Oryctolagus cuniculus: one gene and its partner. Each later gene encodes a partner of the first gene's protein in a complex. Links are inferred from orthologs where the notes say so. Each region holds a gene or a part of one and is shown on either strand. Other genes may lie near its edges. The genes, in order: ACTL6B and DPF1.

What was found.
Region 2: ACTL6B (region 1) and DPF1 share a complex: the UniProt entries of both Homo sapiens proteins name them as parts of the neuron-specific chromatin remodeling complex. The link is inferred for Oryctolagus cuniculus from reciprocal best matches to the Homo sapiens genes ACTL6B and DPF1.

The regions. Positions count from the first base shown.
Region 1 is NC_091450.1:42,839,429-42,843,785, reverse strand, and holds the start of ACTL6B (actin-like protein 6B), read left to right. Parts: upstream 1-1,518; 5' UTR 1,519-1,639; coding exon 1,640-1,664; intron 1,665-2,073; coding exon 2,074-2,150; intron 2,151-2,343; coding exon 2,344-2,509; intron 2,510-2,798; coding exon 2,799-2,899; intron 2,900-4,357. UniProt on the Homo sapiens protein: Involved in transcriptional activation and repression of select genes by chromatin remodeling (alteration of DNA-nucleosome topology).
Region 2 is NC_091449.1:16,352,067-16,356,332, forward strand, and holds the start of DPF1 (zinc finger protein neuro-d4), read left to right. Parts: upstream 1-1,261; 5' UTR 1,262-1,265; coding exon 1,266-1,408; intron 1,409-4,266. UniProt on the Homo sapiens protein: May have an important role in developing neurons by participating in regulation of cell survival, possibly as a neurospecific transcription factor. Belongs to the neuron-specific chromatin remodeling complex (nBAF complex).

The DNA of each region.
Region 1 (4,357 bases):
ACAGAGGTCACATCTCACTGGCTGAGAAGAGATGTGGCTCCACCCCCAGCTCCGCCCCCGCTGGGCTATGTGGCCAAGACAGCACCCTGCCTCCATGTGGGGCAACCCCTGCAAAACGCAGGGCTTGGACTCGTGACTGGTAAGGTTTCTTCTGACTGGGAAAGTTCCTGACTCTGAGACGGCCGGTGGAGATGGAGGTTGAAGGGGAGTGGAACTGACTTGGGAGGAAGTGAGGCAACATTTCTCAGTGTTCAGCAGACAGCATGCAGAGGATCAGCATGAACAGAATCTCTTTCACCCCTTCAAACCCCCACCCCCAGCATTTGGAAGATGAAGAGATACAGGCTATGGGAGCTTAGCGGGCTCACGCAGTTCATGCAGGCCTCACATTATAGAGAAGTCAGTGACTGGCCTGTGGTCACTTGAGAAAATGTCAATCTCCTAGCTGCTGGGTCAGCTCCTTCCCTCCCCTCCAGCTCACTCCTCCCACTGACACCTGCAGGGCTCCAGTCTGGGGAGCCAGACCTGGACTCGGAACCCACCGCGGGTATGCGCAATGCCACTGTCACCAGGAAGTAATGAATGAGCCAGCTCAGCCCATCCTTTGGTTGAGGGAAGAGCTGGGTCTTTTCCACAAGGGGCAACCAGTGAGCAGAGAACCCTCGGGGACATGCCGCAGTCACACTACCCTCTTCCTGTGCCATTTCTGTTCTCACAGCTCCCAAACCCCAAACAAGCAGGTGGGAGTGCAGAAGTGCCCCAACACATTATATTCACGTGTGCATATGCACATGCACACAGCCGACACATTATGTTCACATGTGCATATGTACATGCACACACACACACACACGGCCACACTGGCCAGCACAGGCTCAGAGTCTGACTCAGGCAGTCAGAGCTGCTGCTTCACTTCTGCTATCCAAACCTGCTATGCTGGTAGTGCTGGGAGCCCAGAAGAACCCAGGGCCTACCAGAAACTGGACACCGTGATCATTGCCTCCCAGGGAGAACAGGCGGTTGAGCAGAGAGGGAAGGGTAAGGACAGGCCAGCTGAGTGCCTGTGTGTGCATGTGTGCACGTGTGTAGGTGGAAGGCCCAGGAGAGGAAAAGAGGCCATGAGGGAGACCAGGGTGGGAAGACACGGGGAAGAGATGGAGACACACCCCCTCGGGTCGCGCCCTCTCTGTCTTCCCTTCTACTCCCGGGAGACGTCCTTCAGGCCTAGGTGTGACAGAAACCTTGTGATGGTGGCACTCCCCCCAACACACCCCACAGCCCATTTGAAAAGCTACGGCAGCAGGGTCCCCATCAGTCACCCTGTGGGATCCTGGTCTCGGGGAGGACAAGGTCTCCCTCGTTCTCCTACTCTCCTCTCTGCCGCCCATTGCTTAGGGCTGGTCTTCCTGGGGTCCTCCCCGCCGCCGAGCGCGAAGGTGTCTGCGCCTTTAAAGCGGCGGCCCCCGGCCGGGTTATTGTCTCGCCTCGCAGCCAATCGCCGGAGCCGTTGGGGGCGGGGGACCCGGCCTCCCGATTGGCCGCCGCGCGCCCCGCCCGCCCGGGATCCCGGGAGCTGTCCGGCCGCCGCGGTGCTGATCCCGCCGCCGCCCACGGGCCGCGAGCCGCACCGAGGGGCACTATGAGCGGGGGCGTCTACGGCGGAGGTGAGCCGGTCCCGGGCCTCCGGGGCCTCGCGCGCAGCCCTGCGCCCCGTATCCGCGCCACCCAAGCTCGGGGCACCCCGGGGCCTGTCACCTCGGCGCTCGAGCGAGTCCGACCCCAGGTTTGGGTCCCGTGCCACCCCTACTTTCTGTCTTCCCGGGACGCCCCAGGCGCGCCGGGCCCAGCCTCTCCACTATCCAGCCCTTCTCCGCCCGACCCCTGGCTCCGTCCTTCCCAGCCCCGAGAGTGGCCTGAACAAGGCCACCGGGTAGGAGGGAACTCTGGCGGCTTGACCCCCACTCCAAGGCCCCCACTCGGACTGTGGCTCTGCCCTGTCCCCCTTCCTCTCGGATCTGTCCGCGAGGACAGAGTTTGGGGAAGGTCTCCTCACCTGCTTGTCTCCCCGCACAGATGAGGTGGGGGCGCTGGTCTTCGACATTGGCTCCTTCTCGGTCCGCGCCGGGTATGCTGGGGAGGACTGTCCCAAGGTGAGACTTTCAGATCTCTTCCCAAATCCTCCCCAGGCTCGCCACTAACCCAGGGCTCTCCCAGCCGAGCCCACACGCTCTGCTGAGCAAGTGTGGGAGAAGAGCCAGGGGCGGGCTGAGGACCCTGCCCTGGGGCTGAACGGGTAACCGGGTGATCTTCCTTTCTCTGCCCATGCTGCCCCCTCCCACCCAGGCTGACTTCCCCACCACGGTGGGGCTGCTGGCCGCGGAGGAGGGGGGCGGGCTGGAGCTGGAGGGGGAGAAAGAGAAGAAGGGGAAGATCTTCCACATTGACACCAATGCCCTGCACGTGCCTCGGGATGGAGCGGAGGTCATGTCGCCCCTCAAGAACGGCATGAGTAAGGGCCCCCCCCCCCGACCCTGAGTCAGACCAGGAGCCCACTCCCAGCCCGTGGGACTCTGTCTCACAGCCACGGAGTCCTCCTCACAACTGTCCAAGTCCCAGGGACCTCCTCAGAGCCCCCTGTAGCTGCCTGGTTCCCAGCCCAGGAGCCCCAAATTCCCGGGAGTGGGGAAGGGGCTTTTCCTCTGGAGTTGAACTCCCCCTCCCCTGGACTTGGCGTCTCTCCCTGCTTCCTTTCCCGTCGCTGACCCCTCCCCGCCTCACCTGTGTCTTTCTGGCCCCAGTTGAGGACTGGGAGTGCTTCCGAGCCATCCTGGATCACACCTACAGCAAACACGTCAAGTCTGAGCCAAACCTGCACCCCGTGCTCATGTCAGAGGCCCCGGTGAGTGCCCTGGGGCCCCAGCACAGTCTTCCCACCCCTTACCTGTCCTTTCTCAGACAGTCCTTCCAGCCTTGTCATCTTGGGCCACCTGTCTTCCTCTTGCTCTACCTCTTTCTCTTCCTGCTCTATAAGCCCCTCTCCTCTCCAGTTCTTTTTTAATCCTTTAACTTGAAAATAGTTGTAGTACATATGGTCGATTTGCTTTGTAAAACATGTTAAGAAGAAACACTGCAGTTCTTGCCGCCTCTTCCATTTCCCCTTTTCCAAATGCCATTGCTTTTCTCCCTGTTATCTTTTTTTTTTTTTTTTTTGTATTTCTTTCCGTATCTCCCAATATCACACTTACATTGCTGTTTGCAGGTTTTCTATATTAGGCATCATCTAAGAATTTCCTACTAGAAAAAAGAGCATTGAGCTCTCTCCTCCTCTAGCCTATATCACACATACTTCTCATTCCCCACCTTTAAGTACAGTTCTGGCTTAGACTTCCTGAAAGATCAGTATTCACTATTTAGCCTCCTGTTACTATGTATGCTAATCAGGGCTGAGCTGGGGAATCCATGATCGCTTTTCTGTTTCTTGAGTGGCTTTAAACAATCTGATTTTAGCTCTCCTTTCACCCCCACGTCCAGAGCCAGCTGACAGCGCCCATTTCTAGTTCTCTCAGGGTTCCAAGCTCAGTACAGGTTGTTCCTGGCTTTTCCCAGTACTGCCTTACAGCATTTGTAAATCTGTTAAGTCAGTTACTACTCACCGATCTCATCCTTAACTTTCAAAGTTTGTTGCTGGTTGCTCTTTTCTTATTTTCTTTTTTAGATTTTTTTTTTTTTTTTTGGACAGGCAGAGTTAGACAGTGTGAGAGAGAGACAGAGAGGAGAAAGGTCTTCCTTCTGTTGGTTCACCCCACAAATGGCCGCTGCGGCCGGCACACTGCGCTGATCCGAAGCCAGGAACCAGGTGCTTCCTCCTGGTCTCCCATGCGGATGCAGGGCCCTAGAACCTGGGCCATTCTCCACTGCACTCCTGGGCCACAGCAGGGAGCTGGACTGGAAGAGGAGCAACCGGGACAGAACTGGCACCCCAACCGGGACTAGAACCAGGTGTGCCGGCGCCACAGGCGGAGGATTAGCCTAGTGAGCCGCAGCACCAGCCACTCTTTTCTTCTTTTCACAACCTGAGGCACTACTCTTTCTCAGGTGAAATTCACATGACATAAAATTCACCTTTTTAAGTCAATCATTGAGGGGCAGGCATTTGGCATAGTGGTTACGACGCCACTTGGGATGCCTGCATCCTACATCAGAGTGCCTGGGTACAAGTCGCAGCTCTGCTTCTGATTCCGGCTTCCTGTTAGTGTGCACCCCTGGGAGGCAGCAAGTGATGACTCAGTTATTTGGATCCCTGTCCCCCGTGTGGAAGACCTGGATTGAGTTCCTGGCTTCTGGCTTCAGCCTGGCC
Region 2 (4,266 bases), on another chromosome or scaffold:
GGACGATGCTGGACAGGGATGGGGGGTTGCTGGACCTGCCCTGTGAATTGTAGAGAGGTCAGGATTTGCTGGTGGGCTTGGGTGTGTGTGTGTGCGTGCGCATGTGAGAAAGAAGAGGAGAGTAGGGGATGATTGATTGCACTTAGGAGAGAATCAGCTGCCCACATGGTCCTTCAGGAGGTGGGTCCTCCCCCCCCCCGCCCCAGCTACGTCTTCCTACTCAGCTCTGCACAAAGCACCTGTGCCCACCTCAGGGCCTCTGTGCTCTTCCACTTGTCATGCGTGGCTGGCAACTTTTCAGGGCTCAACTCAAAAGTCACCCGCTCTGTGCAGCCACTCCTCCAAACCAAACTATTTTTTTTAAAGAAGATTTATTTATTTATTTGAAAAGCAGAGTTATAGAGAGGCAGAGACAGAGAGAGAGAGGTCTTCCATCCACTGGTTTACTCCCCAGATGGCTGCAATGGCTGGAGCTGCGCCGATCCGAAGCCAGGAGCCAGGAGCTTCTTCCGGGTCTCCCACGTGGGTGCTGGGACCCAAGGACTTGGGCCATCTTCTACTGCTATCCCAGGCCGTAGCCGAGAGCTGGACAGGAGTGGAGCAGCCGGGACTTGAACCGGCGCCCATATGGGATGCCGGCACTGCAGGCGGTGGCTTTACCTGCTACACCACAGCGCCAGCCCCCAAACTAATCTATTTTAATTCTGTTATAGCACTCAGCATTTTCTGAAAAGATCCCTTTATTATTATTATTTTAAAATCGTCTTTCTCCACTAGAACGTCAGCTTCCTGAGAGTAACGACTTGACTTTGGTCGCTGCTGCATTCCCAGTGCCTGGCACATGTAGTCAATACACGAACAAAGGCGTTGGATGAGCCCCCATGTTGTCAGAGACTGGCTTACCCCGAAGAGACGCCCCGATAAGTAGACTCAGACAAGAATCCGCCGCAGATCCTGGGGACATCCACAGACCCCAGGGAGACTCAGAACCACCCGGGAATGGAGAGCCCGGGCTGGGAACAGAGCACCCCCCGGGGAGGGGGAGAGGATGCTCCGGGAGGAGCCCCGCCCCGCCCTGTATCCCCGGCAGCCAATGGGCGCGCGGTCCTCCTGACGCCCCCTGGGACGTGTAGTCCGGGCAGGGGCGCCCTCGGGCGCCGCCGCGCGCCCCTAGACTCCACGTCCCGTCGTGCGCCGGGAGGCGCGGGGATTGGCCGAGCCCCGCCCCCGGCCCGCCCCGCTCCGCTCGCGCCGCAGCCCCAAGAATGAATGAAATCGTAGCGCGCTGGGCGGCAGAGCGGGCGGCGCAGGCCGGGCTGGGCCCGCGCGCGGCGGCAGCGGCGCCCCGGGCCGGAGGCGGCCCAGCCGAGCGGGCCATGGCTACCGCCATTCAGAACCCGCTCAAGTCGTGAGTGTCCCCGCTGTCCCGACCCGGGTCCGGAGTCCCCGCACCCCAGCCCTTCCTCCGCCCTCCCTGGGGCTGGGGAGGGGGACCCAGCGCGCGGATGGTAGTGGAATGGGGGTCCCCCCACGCGCCCCCGTGCCTCTGAGGACTGTCACCCTTTGCCGCCCCTCCGGGGGCTGGGCACGGGAGCCCCTCCTGGGTCGCGGGGGCGCCTCTTCTTTGTCGCTGTCAGTGAAGGAATGTGGCGCGGGCTGGGGGTGGGGGCTTCCCTCCCCGCCTCCATCTGCTGCGCGGTGTCTCTGGGGGCGGCGGGCCCGCCCCGGAGCGGGCTGGACGCGCGAACGCCCAAGTCCGGACCTGAGTCTCCGGGGTTCCCACCACCCCCTCGCTCCTCGCCCGAGCATCTTTCTCTACACCTCCTCCGCCTTCTCCGCGACCCCGGCGCTGCTGGCCTCGGGGTGGGGGCTCGGATGTCGGGGGCCCCCGGTCGAGTCCCCTTTGCTCCCCGGGTCCCCGGCACCCAGAAGCCCCGACGCCACGATCGCCTGGGGCCGCGGCTTCCCTTCTCTCCCGGCCCGTGCACCTCCAGCCCGAGCGTCTCGGCTCCCCTCGGGAGGGCTGCGCCTCCGTCTCGGGGGAACCCCTGCCTTCTCCACGCCCGCCTCCCTCCGGCTTCCTCTCGGCCCCGTGGCTTGGGATAAGGACGCCCGGGTCCGAGCCTGGCGCCTGCTGTCCCTCGCCCTCTCCACCTCTCTCTGGTTCCCTCCTCGGGATCCCGGACTCCTGGGTCCTGGCGCCCCCCACCCCCTTTCCCAGGCGGTGACAGCAGCTCTGAGTGGCAGGCGTGCGGCCGCTCCCGCCCTCTCTCCCCTCCCCCTCCTCCCGGGCCTGGTGGAGGAGGCGGAGGGCGAGCGCCTGGCGGCGCCGCACAAAGGGGCTGGGGCTACCTCCCCCACCCTGCCCCCAAGCCCCAGCGCTGGCTGCCTTGACCTTGAGCGCGGAGAGCTGGGGGTGGGCGAGTGCACCCCTCCTAATGAGGACTCTGTATGGTGGCTGGACCACTGGCCCTCCAGTTGTTGGCCCCTGGTTTCCGGGTTGGGGGTGCCAGGTGGCCGAGCAGGGTTTGTGCAGGGGCAGGGACTTTGGCAGCACGCACCTGCTGTGCGAGCAGAGTCAGTGCGAGGTGGTGCGTGGGGGTGGCAACCGCTTGTTCCTCTCCTGCCCCAAGGCATGCACACAGACAGACCCAAGAGGGACACCCCCAAACTGGCAGGCAGGGATGGGGCTCCTGCGCAGTCATGGGATCCACAGGCCCTCAGGGCCCTGTCTCTGGCCCTGGCTCAGGCCCTCGGAGGAATACTAGGAATAGGGTGCCACTCCTTGCAGGTGCCTGGAGGCCAAGGTCAGCCACAGGGGCCAGGCCAGTGCCTTTCCCCTGGGGAGTTCAGAACCCAGCTCAAGCCATTAATTCTCCCCCACCCCCACGCGCCTCAGTGTTACCATCTGTGAACTGGGGATTACAGCGGTTCTTAACTCCCGGGAGTGAGGCCTAGCGAGGCTTAAACACGGTGATCACTGGGAAGCCATCGGTGCGGAGCCTGACCCTGGCTAAACGCAGTGATGATTAGTCCAGTCAGCACTGGTTCATCAGTACTGGTCAGTAACGATTTCTCCTGGGGCCAGCACCCACTTAGGGCTGGGAGCTCGTGGGAGGGGAGGGGTCTGAGGGTGACTGAGGTCAGGCAAGGGCCAGCCTGGGTCTGTGGGCTCAGATCCCGCTGGTGGGCCAGGACCTCTGGGAGGTGACCTGGTCTCTACACCCAGGCCACACTGGGTCAAACTGAGTGTGCTGTGTCGGGGCCGCAGGCGGCTGGTCAGGCTGTGGCTGCAGGTGTGTGGAGCAAGAGTGCTGAGCCTGGGTCTGGGGGGCAGGGCTCATGGTGGGTCAGGTGTCTGGTGGCCACTAAAGGAGCCTGGAGGCCAGAGTGAGCTTGGGGTGCCAGCGCGTCCCACTTAGTCCTCTGAGCAGATGTGAGTCAGACACCCGACCCCTCCCGTCGGCGGCTGGTGGAGGGGCGGGTCAAGGCCCTACCTGGCTTAGATGGAGGAGAGTTTATGGAGGGACTAGAAGTGTGTGTGTGTGTAGGTGACCACGAGTTTCGGAGGCCTTGAGTGGATCTCGCTCAAGGAGGAGGGGACCAATTGACAAAGGAGGTGAAGACTGGCCCGCCCCGTCTGTGCGCTGGAGCGCCCCCTAGTGGACAAGGGGTGTGCAGGCGTGTTTATTTCCCTCAGCCTCTCAAACTAGGGTGCTCTTGAAGGGGGGATGCGTTTGCGTGTGCGTGTGTGTGTGTGTGTGTGTGTGGAGAGAGAGACAGAGAGAGAGAGAAACGGGAGAATGTGCCTTAGTGTGTCAGCTCACCTTCTAGGCATTCCTTAGGGTCGATTGAGTGTGTGTGTGTGTGCATGTGTGTGTGTGTGTGTGTGACCCAGGAGGTGAGGGATCAAAGTCCAGGTGCATGAATCCTTCCCTAGTGGCCTGGCCCAGCAGTCCCCAGGGGCTGAGGGCATGTAAGGTCACTTCCCTGTGACCACCTGACTCCTCATCTGAAAAACAGGTACGAAATAGGATTAACTCAGGACAGAGCTGTGCCTGCTTCGTGCTCAGTGGTATTTGTGGAGCACACTATGTGCAGGCATGATTCATTCATTCATTTTTTTTTTTTTTTTGGACAGGCAGAGTTAGTGAGAGAGAGAGACAGAGAGAAAGGTCTTCCTTTTTTCCGTTGGTTCACCCCCCAAGTGGCTGCTATGGTTGGCACATTGTGGCCAGTGCACTGCGTGGATCCAAAGCCAGGAAA